Linked DNA regions of Alligator mississippiensis. The protein of the gene in region 3 interacts with the protein of the main gene of each other region in a pairwise test. Links are inferred from orthologs where the notes say so. Each region holds a gene or a part of one and is shown on either strand. Other genes may lie near its edges. The genes, in order: FAM204A, ZBTB44 and SMYD1.

What was found.
Region 1: the proteins of SMYD1 (region 3) and FAM204A interact in binary tests that used the Homo sapiens proteins (3 or more experiments, as listed by UniProt). The link is inferred for Alligator mississippiensis from reciprocal best matches to the Homo sapiens genes SMYD1 and FAM204A.
Region 2: the proteins of SMYD1 (region 3) and ZBTB44 interact in binary tests that used the Homo sapiens proteins (3 or more experiments, as listed by UniProt). The link is inferred for Alligator mississippiensis from reciprocal best matches to the Homo sapiens genes SMYD1 and ZBTB44.

Annotation. Positions count from the first base shown.
Region 1 is NC_081829.1:88,520,498-88,527,454, forward strand, and holds the start of FAM204A (protein FAM204A), read left to right. Parts: upstream 1-3,918; 5' UTR 3,919-3,995; intron 3,996-4,063; exon of another isoform or gene 4,064-4,169; intron 4,170-4,446; exon of another isoform or gene 4,447-4,779; intron 4,780-5,255; 5' UTR 5,256-5,263; coding exon 5,264-5,503; intron 5,504-6,614; coding exon 6,615-6,705; intron 6,706-6,957.
Region 2 is NC_081839.1:25,691,333-25,698,335, reverse strand, and holds the start of ZBTB44 (zinc finger and BTB domain-containing protein 44), read left to right. Parts: upstream 1-3,999; 5' UTR 4,000-4,088; intron 4,089-7,003. UniProt on the Homo sapiens protein: May be involved in transcriptional regulation.
Region 3 is NC_081825.1:14,314,479-14,321,875, reverse strand, and holds the start of SMYD1 (histone-lysine N-methyltransferase SMYD1), read left to right. Parts: upstream 1-4,363; 5' UTR 4,364-4,434; coding exon 4,435-4,571; intron 4,572-7,397. UniProt on the Homo sapiens protein: Methylates histone H3 at 'Lys-4' (H3K4me), seems able to perform both mono-, di-, and trimethylation. Acts as a transcriptional repressor. Essential for cardiomyocyte differentiation and cardiac morphogenesis.

The DNA.
Region 1 (6,957 bases), on a different chromosome or scaffold from region 3:
CTGAGATAAACGGGATTTGGCCAGTGGGATGGCCCCAGACTATGTAATGTTGAGCTGGTGATTGGCCTCATGGTTTTTCAGATGGAAGGCATATACTTGTATTTTCTCTGGGTTGGTGTGTAGTTGGTTTTCAATGTAGTATGAGGTTAGGCCAATTTGTGCCTCACTTAGGGATTTTTCAAAGCCAGGTTTTGGTCTGTTATGCACAGGTTGTCTGCATAGATGAAACATTTTGTTTCCAAACCAAATGGCTGATCAGTTGTATAGCTGATATATAACAGTGGGACAAGTACACCTCCTTGAGGGAGGACATTCATCTGTTGCCTCCATCTGCTTCACTTCCCATCCAGTTTGACAAAAAAAAAAGTCTGTTTTTGAGTAGGGTTCATAGCAGCTCTATAAAGTGTAAATCTTTTGTCATTTCCAGGGTAGGGTCTTGTGGAGGAGTCATCTGTGGTTAACCATACTGTAGGTGGCTGTTAGGTTAACGAACATAACTCCAGTGATTTGGCCACTTTCAAAAACATCCTCAATATGTTGAGTTAAATTGAGCAGCTGGCTCGTTCCTGATTTTCCACAATGAAAGCTGCCCTGTTTAGGGATTAGGTGTTTATCCACATATGGAGCAAGCTGGTTCAATATGAGTCGTTCATACAATTTGTATGTGTGGCATAGCATAGACAGGTCTGAAGCAGTTTGAGTCATTCCCTGGCTTTAGAAGTGTCACTCCCTGAGCATGGTGCCATATCTTTGGCATTTTTTGACTGGCTGTGCATAAGTTGTATAGAGAGAGGAGCCATACTCAAGTCTGGTGTCCAAATTGATTGACTTGTTTGGTAAGTACATTGTTAAGGCCAGCTGCTTTCCTGGTCTCCGGTGCATTGATACCAGCATTCAACTCTGTCATTGAGAAGGGGCTTGTAAAACCCAGGTCTTTTGGGTGCTTGTATCTTTCCAGTCTAAGTTTTTTTTTAATTTGTTTTTGGTGTGGGGGCTTTTTCCACTGAGAAGCATCTGGTGAGCAATTTGGTTAGCAGTGACATTATGAAATTCTGCCTTTTGTGGGTCATTGCTCGGTTGACGTATTGTCACCCATGCCTTTTTACCATTAGGACTCATATCAGTTGAAACAATCAGGGTCTGCCAGGATTTCCTGCATTCTTCTGTGATGGCTAACATGAACTCCCTGCCTCTAGCTATGACGTTTGTGGAAAAAGGCTGTAGTTCACACTGTTGCCTGTAGTCTTCATATAGCCCAGTGATTTCTGGAGTGAGGCCTGAGACATAATTCTTGCACTAGCCCCACAGATGTTTTTCCTTGCAGACTTCTGTACAGCTTTTATGAATTGGTCTTAGTCCTCGGGCAATGTTTTGATGGTTTCGACTGTGGCATCTAGGTATTCTGAAAAGCTTTTCCAGTTGCCTTTTTAAAGTCGAAACATTGGCAAAATGGCACTGTTATAGGTGTTACTGAGGCTTTGATCTGAATGTCAATTGGCTGATGCTAGGATGTGGAGTGGAGTCTAATACCGTTTTATTACTTAGCCCAGTGATGGTGTTGCCAGTAAATATAAGGTCTGGGTTGTATCTTCATTTCCAGGGGCCACTGTTGAATGATTTAGGTAGCTTTGGGTCATGAATCAAACTCAGCTGATATGCATCTGACCAAGCTTCTACTACTTTGCTGTCTTTATTGGTCTCATTGTAGCCCCATTGTGGTTTATTCTGAGTGATACCTGGTGTATCTTTAATGGTGAAACTCGTGTTAGGTGGTTTGTAGGCTGAAGTGATTGTAATTCCATTGAGTTCAACGGTCAGGATTTCATTGTTGTTTTCTTCAATCTTTCCCGTAGAAATGATGACTCTTCCAGATTTGGCAAATACGGCACTTCCAAATTTCTTGGGTGGTCTTTCAATTGCCATAGTCATTCCAGGTATTGAAGGACAGTTATTATGAGGCCCTCGGTGTGTCACTTCTAAGCACAAGAGATCACACTGGACTTCCTTACATAGATTTAAATTAGTTCTTTTTTCACGAGTGAAAACCCCTCAGCCCTCTGCGGACAGTATTGTTAAAGCTGGCCCTAAGGAGGGCTCATGTCTACTTTGGTCATAGGGCCAAACTGATTGGTTGTAACTGACTAGTTACATTGGTCAATTTAACCAACCGACTGGTTACTGACTGGTTACATTGGTCAATTTGCAGGGTCCAAATCGTGGTTTGTTGTGTTAGCAGAATTTCCAGGTGTTACCTGACACGTCATATCCATCACATTACCCTCCTGTCTTTGAGTCCCTTTGTTGTGGCACCAATGAAAGCCCTAGCACCCCTCATAGCTATTCATCCCATGGTTTTCTCTACACTAGGGGTAGGCAGCCCCTGGCATGGGTGGCAGAGCATGGCATGCGAAGGCATTTTGCTTGGCATGCGCCCCTCAGGGCAGAAAGCAGGGAAGAGGCTAGGGTTGCACTACCACAAAGATCAGGCCCCTCGCGGCTTCCCTGCTGCCCGCCCCTGGCACACCAATATCTTACAAGTCGAGGTTGCAGGTGTTTTTGGCACTCTACCCAAAAACAGTGCCAGCCCCAGCTCGACACGTAGGGCAGCTTCACCACACTCGCTAAGGCATTGCCCATGCCCTTCTGGGGTCCCCTCCTGCCTGCACCTCCCTGCTCAGCCCTGGGGCTTTAGCCACATGCTTGACAGCGATGCCCAGGCGAGGCCCCCGCCGCCCTGAATGAGGGGCAGCCCCCAAATCCCACCCCTCCCACACACAGCGGTCCCTCCCTCCCTCCTCCCTTCCCCCATCAGGCTACACGGTAGCAATCCCCCCTCGTGAGCGGGGATCCTGGTTTTCTCCGATTAAAAATAAATCCCCAACTTTCGGTTTTTAAAAAAAGTAACCCCAAATCCACATTTTCCATGATTAAATTGAAACTTCACTATATATCTATATATATTTATATCAGCGGTTCCCAGTCTGTGGTGTGGGTACCACCCGTGGTACGCAGACAACCTGTCAGCGGTACACAGTAACAGACTTATTATAATGACTTTACATGACAAAAATGTGCCGGCGGTACTTAAGGTTGTATCGTTTGACATTGGTGGTGCGCCGCCTGTCCGTTTGGGAACCGCTGATCTATGTAGCAGTGGTGTTTCACTTAAATCACGGGAAAATACGGATTTGAGGTCACTTATTTTAAAACGAAAATTGTGGGGGGGGGGTGTTTTTTTAAATCAGAGAAAACCAGGATCCCTGTTTTCGGTTTAAAAAAAAAAAATCCCACATCTACGTTTTCCATGGTTAAAATGAAACGTCAACGATATCTCTGTATATTTGTGGCGTTTCACTTAAATCACGGGGAAATGTGGATTTGGGGTTTGTTTTTTTAACTAAAATTGGGGATTTTTTTTTTTTTTAAATCGGAGAAAACCAGGATCCCTGTTTTCGGTTAAAAAAAAGTAACCCCAAATCTACATCTATCCGTGATTAAAATGAAGCATCACTCTCTAGATAGATGGATCAAATAATCTCTCGATATCTCTATGTATATCTATAGACGCAGCTATCTATATCTATAGATATCCATCTATATAGCTATAGATATATATAGATATAGATGTCTATATCTACATATATAGATGTCTATAGATGTCTATATCTACATAGAGATGTTTATATCTATATATATAGATATAGATGTCTATAGCTATAGACGTTAGTGGCGTTTCACTTAAGCCGTGGGGGGACGTGGATTTGGGGTGACTTCCGTCCCCGAGCACTGGGGACGTTTGCGCCCCGCCCCCACCCCGGCCGCGCTCCCGCGGGATCTGCCGCCCCTACCCACTCCCCCGCCCCCACCAACCCGGAGGCTGGTTGTCATGGCGACCCTAGGCAGCAAAGCGGCTGCTGATTGGCCGAGAGGCGGAGCCCAATAGCGGGCCGCGGTGTTAGTGGAGTGTCAAGATGGCGGCGCGGTAAACACGGCCGGTGAGCGAGGCGCGGCGGTGGCGGCCGGGCTTGGGGCAGGCTGCGGTGGGCGTCAGATGGCTCCTTCTCGGGGCACCGCTGGGAGCAGCCCCCGAGCGTGGGGCGGCCTCTCCCCCTCCTCGTCCTCTGGGAGCCGCGTTTGTCCCGCGGATGCACTCGTGGGAGGGGGGTCAGGTAAAGGCCGGTCCTGGCGCGCGGTGGGGGGCCGCGAGGAGCGGAGAGCTGGTGCGCGGGGTCTCACCCTGCGAGCCCGGAGCTGGAGGGTTGGGGCCGGTCACTGGCCTGTCATTGGCCCCTTCTCCAGGGTCTGCAGACAACAGCGCTGGGATGGTCGGCCGGAGCCGGCAGCACCTGTGTGCCAGTCGTGGCACCATCGAGCTGATTCTTGCCTGGGGTGTATATACATACACTCGCATTTCCCTTTACCACAAAAAAGCACGTCTGTGAGAGAGGGGTGAGGCCCGTCTCGGGTGGGGTCAAGGAGGGTGTTTCCGACATCTTTCTGCTCACGTCTTGCCTTGCCCGGGTGCTGCTTCTCTTTCTCTTTCCTCCCCACCCAGCTCTTTTTCTGAAGACTAGAGCTTAGTTGGAAGGAAGCTTCCTATTCACTTTTCAGGCAGACTCGAAAAGTATCTGGGACATAATCCTGCTCTTGGAGCAAAATCGATTTAAGAGATTTCAGTACTCAAGACTCAGAAGTAGAACGGGATCCGGTCCCGCCGCGACACGATCTATCTTTGCGCGTTGTATTTTTAAGCGAGATGCACGAGGCCGTGTTTTAACAGTGAGTGCGAAAGCCAATGTAGATTTTAAATGCTCGTTTTCCAAATTCGTTTGTATGCATTTTAAACAGAAATCCAGTCCTCGGTATGCTTCAGAATTTGTCTAAAGTGAGCATCTTCCGAACTGTAATGGTTTTGTTCTCTAGCAGCAGACGTTGTCATATTGTTTAAATGAAAAAGTGAGTTGTTTTTGTCTGTCCTGTTTATCCAAAATGGAGTTTTTAAAACGTGCGAGTGTAAGCTGCCCTTGTTTACGAGACTTAAGATGTTCGACGTTAATTCTAAGCTTGCCTAAATCACTTAAAACTCATCTCCTGGAAGTAAGATTACGTTTTCTTCTTGTCAAAAGTGTTTAAATTATTTGTAATGCTGTATTTCATTATTTCTAAATCGCTGTTCTTCAGCAGACTAGCTGTATTTTTAGCTGCAGATTCTAGGTAAATTCACATGATGTTTTTGGTGTCTTGCTCTTGCTTAGACTAGAAGATGTGGAGTGGGCTTTTACCACCAGGTGTGAATGAAAGTGATGTTGACTTGAGCTCTGATGATGGAGATGCAGCAGATGGTCCTGCATCGTGCACAAAGGATGATAGAGAAGAGGCTGTCAAGGGAATTCAATTGTCTGATTTCCAGATAGATGGACCTGAAAGTACTTCTGTATCAGTGACAGATGGAGAAAATACATGTCAACCATGCCCTTCTGGAATTTCTTTAAATATGTGGAATGTGGGTATGATTAGATATTTCTAAATGTCCAAAATATAAGTGTAACGTACTTCAGTGTTGCATAGATAATATTTATTCAGTATGACATTTTATAAATATTTTTGTAAGAATTGAATGAAAATATTTGAATTCAGATATTTTATAGTGAATGTGTGTAGGACAAATACAAAGCAGTTTGAATAAAATGTAATCTGTGACCTACTAGAAACAAGTTCAAGGATCTGTTCTGAGGGACTTTGAGGCAGGTATTTTAACCCTTTTTTTTTTCTTTGCTTTCTTAACTGATTGGTAAATTGAAGGGTAGAGGAGAGAAATGATGTAGGCATAACAGATTCATTAGTTTTCTGTTTGCTTTGGAATCTGGGCACCTGAAATACTTTTTCAACTGTATTTTCTTTTTTAAGACTAGCAGTTAAGCATATGTCCAATCTGCATAATAGGTCAGACCTATTTAGCAAAAATTGTGTATCCATAAATTCCATTTTAAACTCTGCCATTCTCTATCAAAATGTAATTGGATTACAAAACCTTTTTTGTGATTTGTGCATCAGAGAAGACTGAGTATATCATGCTAATGAGCTCTGACCAGTCTACACTGATGCCTAACAATGGGGTTAGAATTCTGCATAAGGATTGGTAAAAACAAGTGTGTATCTATAGGTCCATATCTATAGGTATCAGTCCATATCTATAGGTAATCATACAAGGTGTTTGCTGCCAATCATCTGTGGATGACAAAGCACTAGCTAAACTGAATATTAGAAGACTGTGTATTGCTCAGTGTTATACCTTTGATATATTTAATGTTGGTTGTGCATTTTATGAAAAAAAAACTTTTGAGAATGTTCTGAAGAACTGGGGGGATTATGGTAAAGGCACTAGGAGGTTATAGAGATTATGCAGGGATGAAGATCAGAGTTAGTTGTGTGTAACATTTGCCACTCAATACCAGCAGAGAACTGACTGTCACAGTATATAAAGGGTCCCCATAATAGTGAGATTTTAAAAAATAAAATGAGAATTTGAGTAACATTTTCAAATACTTTTTGCTTCACTAAAAAAACAAAACAACCAACAAATATTTGGAGTTTGCTTTTCCTTCTTCCCACAGAAATTTCTGGAGCTGCAGAAGAAAAAATGTGAAATGAAAGCCCAAGCAAATGAGAGAAAGAAGGGGAAAAAAAGAAAACGTTCCAGAAAAGGTGTTTTGGGAGAGTTAATATAAAAGCATTTCGGTTTGATAAAGCCAGTTGAAAATATTGTATTCTTTCAGTAGTTGTAAGACAGCTAAAGGACAACATTCATGACACTTACTGTGTCAATGACGATGCAGGGTTTTTTTGACTGAATTGTGAGAACTGGGCACTGAAGGAAGAGATTGGCCTGTGTTATGGGATAGGGGATGGGGAGTGGCTACTAAGTTGTACACCATTAGCTGCTGGGGTCTAACAGTT
Region 2 (7,003 bases), on a different chromosome or scaffold from region 3:
TTTCATTGTTTCTCAGGGTCTGACTATTCATTCCACCTGCTCAGTGTGTGGGAATTTGGCAACCGCGATGTGTCAGTCTGGAGGTGTTAGTGTCGATTCCATCCAGACAGAAGCACTCTGATACAATTAATATCAATGCCCTTGGGATAACCTGGAGGTACCATTGCTTCTCACTGTGAAATGACCAGTTCAACAGAAAAAGCCCAGAGTAAATAAAGATGACCTTGTATCATAAGAAAAAAGAAGCCAAATTATCGGCTGGAATAAATTTGATACAGCTGCTGCATTGATTTACAAGTATCCTGCTAACAATTTGGCTTATGGAGCTCCTGTTGGAATCTTTTCTGAAGGGGTTGAGGCCTGATGAATACTTTTTAGTAAAAGCAGTCCTCTTCTGCCAGAGTGGGAAGACTCTCCTGTTAGTCAAGAGCCATCTCTTATAAACCTAAAGGATGCAAATGTGACAACTATATGCAATACAGCTATATTTACATGCCATTGATGGGCCAGGCGACAAGTGTCCCTTCCCAATGCTGTATAGTGCCCAGAGAGCTCTGCATAGTGAAACAAAACTCATTAGCAAATTCCAGCTCTGTCTCTCTGAAACCAAAATGATCTGTTGCTGATTAAAAATTCAGCAAGACACACCAACAGTTCAGCCAGGTGTTCTGGATCAGGGGCACCATTACAGGGGTTTTTTTTAAGAATAAGAAATTAAATAAGGTACAAAAGAGATCCTTCTTGCTGGGGGTCTGATTCAAAGCTCTTTAAGGCTATAGGAGACTTTCTATTGACTTCAGTAGTGGTTGGGCCAAGCGGTGAGCAAGATACTGCAGAATGAGGCATGTGGCATGAGAAGGAGGGAAGGCAAGTCAGAACTGCTGACCAGCCCCAGATGGACATTTGGCAGACTTGGCTGCCGCTGAAAGAGGGACATGTGAATGACTGCATGGAATGGTCCTGTCCCAGTATGACCGTGTGATAAATACCAAGCAGCTGCGTCATGCTGCTAAAACCTATGTAACTTGGCATCTGCACACATGCTAAGATAATGACTTCACTTTGCTTCAGTCCTACACAGCTGTCAAAGTCTGAGCAAATGAATCAGTCAGGGCTGGGAAAACAGAGCTGGAAATAGGATTTAAGCAACCCAGAAGAAGGAGGCCATGCAACTAGCAGAGCCTGCTGCACTACAACAGGTCAACAGGCCATTCTCATTGACTCGGTGGCAGTTGAGTAACCATCGCAGTCGGCTGAGTTAATCCGGCTGCTGGGTATGTACGCACAAAATCAGCCTGCTAACAAACCATGTGGTATTTGCTGTGGAAGGCAGAAGTGCCTCCTCATGGAAAGCTGAGTTCCTAATTCTGCAAATGCTTGCCCCAGCCCCTCCACGCTTGACTCCAATGGGGTTTCTCTATTGGGCATTTTCATAATTCACATGCAAAAAAATATATATCTGGATGTTAGGCCAGACCTCATTCAATGGAAATATGATGGCTTGCGCCAGCTGAGGTCCTGGGCCATGATCGCTGTCCATTCCCATGTCTTCATGCCTCCAGTGATGCATGGCTTTACCCACGACCTCCCAAACCATGCGATAAACAAGCTAGGGGTTGTTCTTTACACACTTGTACAAGGAAGAATGTGTTGCATCCCACAACCAAACTGCCTTCTTCTGGCTGACTGAGTCTTTGGCAGCATAAATCTAATTCCCTTTACACTTCCCCTGGTTTTATACTTATATAAGTCCAGGGACATCAGTAAAGTGACCCCCCCATCACAGTTCCTGGTTTGACTGAACTTGTGACCTCTTCCTACTGTCATCCTGGAGTGCCACCCTCCCTTCTCTGGTTTCATGCTTCAAGCTATCACCCGTCTCAATGCGATTCTGCCCCTTTCAGTGAAATCTCAACTACAGTCCTCAGGTACTGGCTGTGATTATCTCAGCAGGGCTGATTTAGGATTAGGACCTGCAGCTTTGGTCCTTCCAGAAACTAGGACAGCATAACAAGTCACCAGGCAGACAGTCCTCTGATTGCAAACTGGTATTTATTTAAAACAAAAGCATTTAAAAGGAAACGGATCTTAGGCAGTGAACAGTCTACACATTTGTCTGTCTTTGCTGATGGTTTCCCATTCCCTGGAAGTGCTCAATTGCTTCCAGACACTCCCAGTGGACCCAGTCTCACCTCCATCCCAGTCTGTTCTCAGCAGAAAGAACAAGCTCTCCTCCCATCTCCTCTCACCCTTCCTTTGATCTCTAACACCCACTGCTGCCCAAACAGGCTTGCATTTTTATTGGCAACAGCATACAAGATCCACGGAGCAGGGAGGGGAGCTTTTCTTGCCGCCTTTCAAGTGTGAGCCGAGATGTGTTTAGCTGGGAGCTGTTATGTTGCCTTCCTGCTTGTTCTTCCAACAGCCCATTTCTAAGCTAGATCAATACATCCAGACAGGGAAGCCTAGTAAGCCAACGTATCCACTGGGTTACTGCCTCACTGACCTGGGTGCATTCATAAAACCATCACAGATCAGTGGTCTTTGATTAGTACACACAGCTCTGTGTCTGCCACACCGCTGATTTACAAAGCTATGGGTGAGAGGAAGGTCAGGCTCAAAGGGGGTTCGCGGTCAACAGAGCAATCCCACTGTACTATGTGCTAAAATGAAGTGGACATGCCATTTACGCCTTATGCTAGTGCAAGGCGCTCCTAGGGTTGCCAGCTGTTTGAATCTATTCCGGGAGGTTTCGGGACTGCCAACATGCCTGTGACACGCGACACGAACATGCCCACGGAGCTGCAAACATCAGTTACGGATTACAGCGTGTAGACATTATATCGGGAAGGCAAATGCACGTTGCTGTTATATTTTAAAAACCCACTGAACGACTGTATAAATCGGATTCAACATTTAATATTTATTTTAATGAATGCCCTATCGTTTATTTCCCAAGTGACACTCAGCAGTTTCTTGGAGATTTAGATCTAATTCGTGCAGACTCCAGGGCAATGATGGAGGGCTGGCAACGAAGTTAGACATCAGGGTAGGGAGTGTGTTCGCTCCCCAGCCAAACTCATCTCTGCAGCTCCTTGCTCAGTGCAACCGGCATCTCCGGCCGCCTGGAGCGTAGGGCCGATCACAGCGCTCGCTGACGGCAGCTACCTCGGGAGATCTGGTTGTGCCAGCTCCTTCTTGCACAATCAATTTACTGTGATGGAGCAAAACCTAGTGTAAAGGACTCCACAGGAATCACGTTGTGCGTCCGTGCCCGACACGTGGGGAAGGCCTGCAGCTGCAGCGTTACCCAACTTTGTCACTTTACACAGCCTGACACGCCGGCCCCGCTAGGCAGGTGCAGCGGCACCACCGGGTACAACCCTGCGGCTGGGGGCAACTGCTCCGGCAGGAGTCCTGCACCTGCCCCCAGTGCTGCTGCAATCCCTGCCCTCTGCCCCCTCCACTGCTCTGCTATCTGCTCCCGCCCCATCCGCCGCTCTGCTTTCTGCCCCCTACCCCATCTGGTGCTCTGCTTTCTGCTCCCGCTCAGTCTGCTGCTCTGCTGTCTGCCCCCTGCCCCATCCTTTATTCTGCTATATGCTCCTGCCCATTCTCCTGCTCTGCTATCTGCCCCTGCCCCACCCTCTGCTCCGCTATCTACCCCAGAGCCCCGCCCTGCCAGGCCGGGCCGGGGGCACCCGCGCGTCTCTCGCGCCCGGGGTCCGGGGCAACACCGCCCCCGGTGACGTCAGACGCCCCGCCCCCACGCCGAGCCCCACTCGCTCTCCCCGCGCCGGGCACTCAGCGCGGCACGGTCCGGCCGCGGCCGCGCGTCTGCGCATGCGCCTGCCCCGGGCCGCCCGGCGCCAGCTCCCAGTGCGCCTGCGGGCGGCGCGGCCCCTCCCCCCCCCCCCGCCCGGCCGCGCTGCATTGTGGGACACAAACAAAGTGCCCGGCCAGGCCGGAGAGCGCAGCGCGACGCCTCGGCCTCGCCGCCCCGGCCAACCCCCCGCCGCCATGGCCCGGCCGCCGCCGCCGCTGCCTCCGCGCGGGGCCAGATAGGGGCTCGGCCCCACCCACCGCAGGTAACGGCGACCTCAAGGGGGCGGGGGAGGCTCGGGGCCGCTGTCGTGTCCCCCCCCGTCCCCCCGGGCCCGGAGCGCTCCTCGGGTGCCCCGCCCCCCCCCGGCCCTGCCCCCCCCCCCCCCGGTCCGGCCTCAGCGCCTCGCGCCCCGCGCCCGTCCCGCCCGACTAGGCCGGGCCGCGGCCGCGTGCCGCCGGGGTGGGCCGAGACAGTGGGTGAATCAAAAAGCGGCGTGAAGACGGTGCCCGTGAAGCGGGGTGCGCGCAGCGCCCTTTTGTTTGGCTCCAAAAGCATTGATAAAGGCGTGCTGCCTTAGGACTGAAACAGCAAACCCAGCTCGACCTGAGGAATAAAGGGGCAGCGCCAAAAACGTTACTGTGAAACCAAAGTGTCTGGTCTGGGGCAGCGAAAAAAAGAAATGGAGGATAAATGGGAGCTCCTTCTGACGGGGGGAGCCCCATTTTCCCTCGCTTCGTGCGGGTTTTGTAGGTGCGAATTCGCTATTATGCGATGGCCCTTTTTATACCAAAAATGTGTTATGCATGAGGTAAACTCGCTCTCCTGCGATCGGCGCGGCGGGAGCCCGCAGGCGGCTGCTTTGCGCGGTGCGTTGAGCTAGTGACGCGCGCCAAAACGCAGGCTCGTGCGCGGGTCTGTGTTCCTCGCCGGTTGTCTGCAACACACGTTTCCGTAGTTGCCGTCCCCGTTACGATAGCGCCCTGTGCTTGTGCGCGCTGTCTGCTGTTGGTGGGTACTGAAATGGTCTTGTGGAAGCGGTAGAAATGGGCCTGGGGGTCGGTACAGTCGAGGTCTTGGGAGGTATCTCTGTTTGTCTCTCTGTGAAATGGGCTCCCTTCTTGCGGGTTCGAGTTATGCGCCGTTTTCCAGGAACGCGTGTGCAACGTGAAGCGAGGTCCGCAGGTCGGGGGATGTGAAACTCGGGGGACTCGAGCGGGTTTGATTTCATAAAGGTGCCGTGATTATCCGTTAATTTTAAAATAATGATTACTTTGGGGCAGTTTCAAGCGTCGGTCTCTGCCAAATCTTCTTTTCAAGCCATCTTGTGTAGGTCTTTCATTTTCTTTTGAAGCACTACAGTTCCCAAGCTCTCTCAAGAGCTGGTCAGGTGTGAAGAGTTGTTGATCAGGGCTCATGGACAGAAGTGATATCTTTTATTAGACCAGCAAGATATTTGGAAAAAATTAAAGACTTTTTTTTTTTTTGCAAATATCTTGCTGGTCTAATAAAAGAGATCATCTCTGTCCGTGAGCCCTGATTTGCTTTTTCCTCTAGACCAATATAGCTACAACCTGGATATTGGACACATGGAAGAGTTGTTGATGGTATCCATTATTGGCACCATGTGTTAGATTCGTGTTCTGTTTCCTACTGTGCTAAGTGGTGACATTGTGTTTGCAGCACCCATCGCCCCAATAGCGGGGTTTAAAGTGAGACAGACAGTAGCATTTTCCTTTTGTTAATAGCCAGTTTCTCTGCAGCACCTCTATGCTTCCTTGTTTTAACAGACAAGTATGGAAGAAGTTACCAGTAGTAAGGAAGGGGAAGTACCAGCCAGTAGTCAGCTAAACAAACCAACACCTTGTGACCATATGGTCTGCGTGTACTTGCTGTGTGTGTGAGACATGAATTTTTATTGATGCACCCTTAACTTGCTAGTTATTAAAGAATCATCCCTGTTCAAGTTTTGCAGCCTCTGCAGACAGCCACAATTTGGGGATTCTGAATCCTTCAGTGCCTTAAGTGCTTAAAAACTTCTGACTGAAAGGACTTATTTAAAGTAACATAGACATGAGGAGAGTACAGGACTTAAAAGTTGTCTTATTTATGGGCAGCAACTTCACAAAACATTATTTTCAGAGATAATACTCTTTAAAAATCACTTATATCTAAGAGTGCAGAAGTTAGGTGGTGGCTGTCTTACTTGTGCACTTACATTATTGAAATGGCAAGTACTAAATTGCTAATCTGCTGAATATCTGGCAAAACTGAAAGCACTGGAAAAAAGTGAAGATTCCCTGCCCAACCTGTAAATGAAAGACGGCCTTGTGTAGATCTGTTTAAATAGCTCGTGCCCTTATTTCAAACTCCTCAGTAGTCCATGTGTTAACTTGCCTGCTTAGTAGCAAAATTGATACTGCTAGTGATGTCATCGGACAAAAACAAGCACTGAAGCATTGCTGTGTAAACTGTTTTTTGACAGTCCACAGAGTCAAATGCATAAAAATCAACACAGCTTCACTGTTACCTGTATAGAGCTGGGGAGAGGGAGGAAATGAGGGGTCTAAAGCTTTGACAGCAATTCTTCTAGCTTCCATCTCTAACCAAGTTATGGAGGAAGCAACTTAAGCTATACATTGTTTGCAGGCAGCCTCTTTATAGTAAATATTAGATACTTTAATGTAAATCACAAGTTTTAACCAATTTAAAGAGTTAGAGAAACCAAAGTTTCTGCCAGGGACTGGTTTGTTAAGTATTACTGTTGTTCACAGAACGCTATTTTCTTTGGTTCCAAAAGAATTAGTTAAGGCATGTTCCTCAAAGCACAAACTTTCTATTAAATAGATATTTGTTTTTTCTGATGTACCTGTCTGCATTGTTAGTATAACTAAATGTAGTATACACTAGCTTGCATATAAGAAGTGTTACTCCTACATTCATCTATAATAAGCAGTTTTACTGGGCAGTTTGAAAGTATTCTTGAATATCTACAGGCTGCTAAGATTGGTTGAAGATGGCTCTTCTGAACTAGACGACATATTATTGTGTGGATTGTAGATCTGCATATTTTATATATAAAATATTTTAAGCAGCTTTCCTGTAAATCAAATGGGGTTTTGCCAGGAATAAGTCTCTTGGGGAATATTTTTGGTAGCATTTACAGGTAATATACCACTA
Region 3 (7,397 bases):
TCCAGAGACTCAATCTGGGCACATGTAGGACAGGCAAGGGAACCCCCAGCCCCCATGCTACCCCCAGGCCTCAGAGGTCCCGCCAGGCAACACCCGCAGACAAGGGGCCAGGGCACTGCTGACCCATCCAAGGGGCCTGTCTGGGTGGAGGCCCCACAGGAGCTCCGGGCTGGAGGCAGCAGCAGGGCAGAGGCCCTGGCTGCGCTACGTGTCACTACCCCCATAGTAGCCCTTCTCCTCATTCACTTACCTGAAGTCCCTGTCTGAAGCTCCCGTGTACTCCTGCCCATGACTGGCCTGAGAGCTGCCTGCAAACTGCTCCCCTTTGGCAGTCCCTGTTCACTGGCTCCCTGGTCACAGGCTCTCTGGTCACCTGGGGGGTCTCCTTTTATACCCTTCTGGGCCTGGGCTCACTCAGGCCGAGGCAGCAATCACACAGTCAGCAATCCCACAGCAATCAACAGTCACTTAGCACTCAGCGCTCACTTCCAGCTTCTCAGAGCACACACCTGCCAAACAAACAGACAGCCAGCTAAACCAAAGGTACAGGCAGCTGGATCACTTACCTTTTCTGGGTAGGATCTAGTGCCTGGCCTGGCTTCTCTCCCCCTCCCTCCCTCCCTCCTCTTGCCTCCAACAACTGCCTGCAAACTGCTCCCCTGTTGGCAGTTGCTGTTTGCTGGCTCCCTCATCACAGCTGGTTTTTTAACATGTAATGTTAAAAGAAAAGGTATCAAACTGCAAGGAAGTTACTAATGGACTTCTTGAAGGATCAACCTCTGGAACAATCTTGTTTAACATTTTCATTAACAGCCTTGACACTGTAGCAGGTCCAGTGCTGGGGGAGCAAAATCACCTCTCTGGGTATCTGCCTAAACTTTACTTGCCCCCTCTGACCTCTCAGGGTCCCACCCTGTTATCTTTCCTTCCATACCTTTATGTTATGATTGGACAGGGAGGGTGCCCCTAAGGTAGGGGAGTTGTGAGTGTTAGGCCCTTGTTTGGGCTGAGGCCCCCTGGCCTGGGTCCACTTTACTCTGGCTGGGCCCCTCCACCTGAGGTCCACTGTCTCAGGACTGTAGGCTCCTGGGCCCCAGCTCCAGCCACACCCTTGTAGGCTCTGGGCCTTTTGGCCCCTGGTCTCACCCTTGTGGGCTCTGGGCCCCTCAGCCCCTGGTCTTGCCCTCATGGGCTAAGGCTTGCACCCCCAATCCTTCCACTAACAGCAGCACTAGACCCTTTGAAGGGTCTAGGACCTGGTGTGTCCTTGGCACCATTCTCGGTGGCCTCCTCCACCCCTATAGCCACAATCTGGTCTTCCAGTATTTAAACACAAATGAAAAGATATGAGCATTTGCTCTCAAACAAAAGGTTCCCCATCCTGGATTAACACCACACTGTGGGAAAACCACCATGCCGGGCCCCAAAATACTTATCTTTGGCTGCCAGGTGTTGCAGGGGCTTCCTGCAGCATCCCTGCAGCCTGAAGTCCTTCCTCCTTGTCCGGTCAGGCCCTAGTCCTCCCTGGAGCTCTGCTTCCTACAGCCTGTGGGGCCAGACTGCCCAACTTGCTTCAGGTCCTGGGCTTTTATCTCTCTCTCTGGGGTACTTGAGCCACTACTTCCACCCCAGGCTTGTCAGTCACTGGCTGCACCTGAGGCAGGCAGGCATTTTATTCAAGGGCCTTCTGCCACCATCAGTTTGTCCAGGAGGCTGGAGTTGGCCAGCTGATCCTCAGCTCCCTCTCTCCTTCAGTAATGGGGTAGGAGTCCCATTGCACACACAAAATTGAGGAGTATGCTGACGGCAAAAGGTTAAAAGTATCATTCATATAGAGGTATATCTCATATCAAATCAAAACATGAAGCACTGAACTGCTATTGACTCATCTGTTTCTAACTGGTGTCCACTCTTCAACTGATGCACTTGCATTCATAGGAGTTGAGCATGAATATCAAGACAGATGTGATCAGCTTCAGCTTCTTGACTGGAAGGGATTCTTGTCTTTTGCCATTGCAGGGCTACTTCTTCGCACTCATAAGTTGGTGTGGTAGGGCACCAAGAGACAAAAGATATTGTAACAAATCCAAAGCCTTGGACTGCAGTTTCCCCTCTTCTGCACAGCGTGACTGCTCAGATGTTTGGATGGCAGCAGTACAACTCAGATCCTCTGCTTCAAAATCACAGACCCCCCCCAGTAGTGTTTAGCAATAAAGGTAGGTGTCTGGTTGGCTGGATAGCAATCAGAGCACTATTACAGATCACATGTGTGCTATGATTAGCCTGAATTTGCTTATGTTTCTGGAAGTAACTAGTTCATGCTTATCAGGCTCAGAACAACCTCGGAGTAGGTATTTATATTACTATGTGATTCCTATCGTTACTTCAGCTATTTTCACTAAAGAAGAATCTCCATTAACTCTTGGCTGCATATAAAGTCTAAGATGCAGAGTTGAGCAGTTTGGAAACTGTCCAAAAGATAGCAGTGGCACTCACGTATGCATGTGTACACACACACACATACACACCCCCCAGCACAGACAGATCTAGGAGGGTGCAGTGGTGCAGTTGCATTATCTCCTCTTCCCTCTCTTCCTGTCCCCACTTTGATTCCTGCTCCACCCAACTTTTAAACCAACTGCCTGGGTGGAGTAGCAGCATTTCTATTCAGGCAGCACTGAAGGAGTCCATTGACTTCTTGGCCCATTATCATTTCCCTGATTCCTGCTACTCTCTCTCCACTCCACGGTGTGTCAATGACTCTCTCTTTTTTTTAATGGTCCTTAATATTAACTTAAGTGTAGACATGGCTGATAGTGAAGTACTGGGAGCACTACTCAGATGCTCAAGATTTTGTTTTATGAATCTGACTAAGAGACATACATTTAAGTAGAATGACTACAGGACTAATGGCACAATATCTTTTGACTTATTTTAACTATTTTTGCCTAATTTGTTGTGTTTTTTTAAAAAACTGTGTATATAATCTATCAAATTAGCACACACTCCAATAATTGTATTTGTTTTTGCTTTGATCTTAAACTAAATCTTATAGTGCTAGCCCCCTAGCATACTAATAAAGCATCTAGGTTCTCTTTACTTGGAGAAAGATATGTGTTCTTTGATGCACCACATGAAAATCCTAGATCCATTTGTGTACACCAGCCTATTACATACTGCTCAAGGTAGATGCCACTCATCCTCCAACTCAGGCAACTTTGGGTGGGCTGACAGGTATTAACCAATTCATCTCTCGATCCCTCAGTTTACCCATCTGTTATGCAGACATAGCCCTTACTTCTCTCACAGAGGGACAGAGAGTCTACATACGTTCATGTGCGCAAGGCACTCTGAATTCCCAGTGATAGATGTGGTAAAATTACTGGGACCTTAGACATACAAAGTATTAATAAATAATACTGAAATACCAAATACCAATGCTGACTGGTTTGTTTTCACAGCAAGACTCTTCTTTCTGTTAACATCAGCAGAAATCTGGAGGGATCCCAGTGACTTCAGTGGTGTTATTTTGGTTTTACACTGATGGGTGCGGGTGAAGGGTAGAAACAATGTCCTATTTTATAAATCATTTGAGCTTGCTGGGGATATTATCCTCTTTTTACCTGCTTTGGGTCCAGTCCATCCTTTGAATTCCATGGAGTTGCATCGGGGATAAACACAGCCCTCAAGCTTGCTAGCATTTCAATGAGTTTAGTCTGTTGAACTCCTGACAGACAGCTAATATGTCATGCCTGCTTCTAAAGAGGCGCCTTCCAGCTCATTCCCTGCACTTCTCCAAGTCACTCAGTTGGCATGTGGCAAGCATCTCTCTTTTGTGCCTGTTTTCTGCAGCAGCAGATGGGGTAATTTTAGCCTGCATGTTTGACAGACCTTCCTCACCCTTGCCTCCAGCATATCTCCTGGAGGGTAAAAATAAAGCAGCATTGTTTGATTTCTGGAAGAACCTAAATGACAGTGGAAAGAACCCCAGACACACAACCCACCCACCACTTACGGCTGTCTCAGCTGTTGGCTCCTGATAGACAGAAGCATGTGGTTTCTAAAAATACCCTGTTAAAGTGAATGCATTCTCTTTCCAATGGGAGAGAATAAATTAAACTTGGTGGTCATAACATATACAAAAGCTTTCAAATGGCAGAAACAATGCCAATGAGTTTTTCAGATGGGCTTTTCCTAATGAAGCTGATGGCACTGGTAATGCATGACCAATCATTTGGCTTCTGTGCTTAGCACTGCATTAAGCTAAAGGGTTTCTCCCCCTCCCCTCCCTTCACCCTCCTATGGAAAATGGGTGGGGGGAGGAGGCAACGTAGTCCATATATAGGACTGGTCCTGGGTCAGGCTGAAGGTGTTGAAATAGCAGGAGTGACAAGAGAGTTGGCTCACTCGCATTAGGAGCTGGGGTTCCCTGACATGACAAAAGGGGGAATGGAGACGGTGGAAGTGTTCACGTCGGAAGACAAAGGCAGGGGTTTGAAGGCAGTCAAAGAATTCCTGTCTGGGGAAGTCATATTTGCGGAGCCTGCTTATGCGGCGGTGGTTTTTGATAGGTAAGAGAAAAGTTATTGTAAAGTAAATGCCAAAGCCTGCTCCTTGCAAAAGTCTGATGTGGCTGCAGCTGGTGTTAACTTGATAGAGTCTGGATAGCATCAGTGAAGGCTGAGAATCTGAGTAGTAACACTTCCTCGTGAGTCATTTGCAGCTTGCCACAACGCTCCTCTCATTAGGACAGAGTGATCATCCCGCTTGTGTGCCTTAAATACACTGTGACCTGCTACATGGACCTGAGCTTACAAAGTGCTCTCAGCTTCCTTCATTGTAGTTGGAGCTGAATTAGTTCAATGGACTGCAATATGAGCGATGCAAGTGCTGTTACAACGAGTCCCTGAGTTCGCTGTAAAAGATCCCACAAGGTGCTGCATGGTAGAGATACAGTATGTCATTGTGCTTTAATTGTGCATATGCCCCCTTAATATATACACAGAGAGAGAGGGCACTAATGCTTAAAGTCAAGAGGTCCTTAACATATTCATGTTACTGGCAGTTTATCAAAACTTGATCTTGCCTAGGTCTCTTTAGTCAATCTTTCACTCGGTGCCTCTTTAAAGACATCACCTGCTTCAAGGCAAATGGTTCGAGACAGAGAACTTGGGAATGTTTTTGTTACTGCTAAAATGGTTTTATGCTCATGCCTGAATGAATGAAGGGAAGCTGCTGTATGACAGTTATCTTTGTAAGCAGATATTAGCTTTTTTGGCTTTTGTTTAAAGTAACCAGCAAGTGAATCCTCATGTAAATGCATGTTTAGTTATGTTATTTGTCTCAAGCTCTTTATTTTTCTATAAAAAATTGGTGGATCAATTTTCTTCACAGATGTAGGCTTTGAGTACCTAATTCCGCCCTTGAGGTCAGTGGGTTCTGCCCAAATAACCTAAAAGCTTCTACACAGCAGGCCATATTCATATTATGTTAATGTGGGAAATCCAGAATAACTTCATTGACCTCAGTGGAATTACTCTACATTTATACGTGAATAATTGAGCACAGAATGTGGCCCAAACATCATAAAGGAGCAACTAACCTTCATGTGCATTGCTTTCGTTCTGTACTTCATAACGGTCTAAACATTTCTCAAAGCACCTTGTAAATGAATCCTGGGGTTGAATTCTGCTGAAAACCTCCAGTGACTTTCGAATAATGTTCTGTATGTGAAATAAGGCAGGACGTTACTTACCTACTAAAGCTTTCTTTGAAAAACATTTCTTTTAAGGAGCTCTAGGGTGGTATCAGACATTCTTTAGTTTTAACTGTCACCATGTAGTGCTTTGCTCGATCGCCCACAATTCAGTGAGCTTGTTTACTAATGCTATGTCATCAGGCAATATCAGAGAATTAATGCTGAATGAAAAAAAGAAGAAAATAAATGTGTGGACTTAGTTACGCTTGTATCTTTTCACTCGTTTTTTCTCTGTCGCTGTAATATCAGTGGGGGTACAGGAGTAAGAACCTAGGATAGTGGTAACAGAGATGTGGTCTTTATTTGCATTTTAATACGTCATTGTAAGAACTGCTCTTGGAAAAGGTGACTGCCACCACCATATAACCTGGACTTGAGTTATGCCTGTGTACCACTTCAGTTAGTCATGCTATGTCAATCCCTGAAATAGATTCAATTGACTGATGGACAGCCAAATCCTGCTCAGAGTGGGCGAGATTCTAGTGCTCATCTTTATATTAGCACCAATGCTAATTTATTGTTGAAATCAATCAGAGTCTTTCCATTACCTTCAATAGGCTTTGCATTGGGCCTTCATTTGACCCGAGGTTGCATTGGAAGCATTGGTTGGGCCAGTGGAACAGGTACTAGTTAACATGAGTAGGGGATGGCAAAATTCAATCCAATCTGCTAACTTGACTTCCATGGAAGTAGGACCAGAACTGATGATTACTGATTTATTCTTAAGCATTGTCTATGATACTGGTAATTATTCCATCCAACCTGAACTAGGCTGAGTCCCAAGGAGCCTGATTATGAACTAGGACTTTTATGAGCAGTTGGTGAATTAAAATGACTCTTAAAGAACACCCAAGTCCAGGAGGAGACAGCAGTGGATTATACACAATGCTCGGACAAGTTCTGTAAAATAAAATGGTTTGATTCATTACTTTCTCTTTAAATGACACTCCACATTGCGGCTAGTGTGAAATAAGGCAACTCCTTCAGGGCCTCATCTACAGATAGCTCATACACCCTTCGTGGGAGCCAGTTATGCTCATGCTAGAGGTCTGGCTTTTCTTCACTTGGGCATTGTCTACATGTACAAATGATGCGGGATGGGTTTACTTCAAAGTACTGTGGAGTAAACCTACCCCAGGCAGGCGTCTACACATGCTGGGATGTGGGAGCAGATTTGCTGCTTGTGGCAGCAGCCTGCACCCACCCCCTCCAGCCCTGCACCAGCCCCCTGCAGCAGTCAGGGGGAGTTCTAGGCTCACCCTGGGTGCTAGCCCTGGAGCTAGTAGGGGGCATGGGGCCAGGAGACAGCTGTCTCCTGGTGGGGACTGGGAGATTGCTCCCTGCCCCCTAGAGCTACCTGCTGCGAGGATGGGCTCTGCCACGGGAGCCTGGGTGCGGACAATGTCCCTCTGCCCTGGCTGCAGGGAGCTCCTGGCCCCGGCTCTCTAACTGGGGGCAGGGGGCTTGGAAAGAGCTGCAGAGAATCCACGCCCAGCCAGGGGCTCACTGCTATCTGTCCCACCAGCGGATCAGAGCAGAGGTCTAGGACCTGCCCCCCCAGCTTTTTCTAAGCCCTGCACCTCAATCACTCATTCAGGGCACGGGGCTGGGACGTGCCCCTGACCAGGACAGTTTCCAA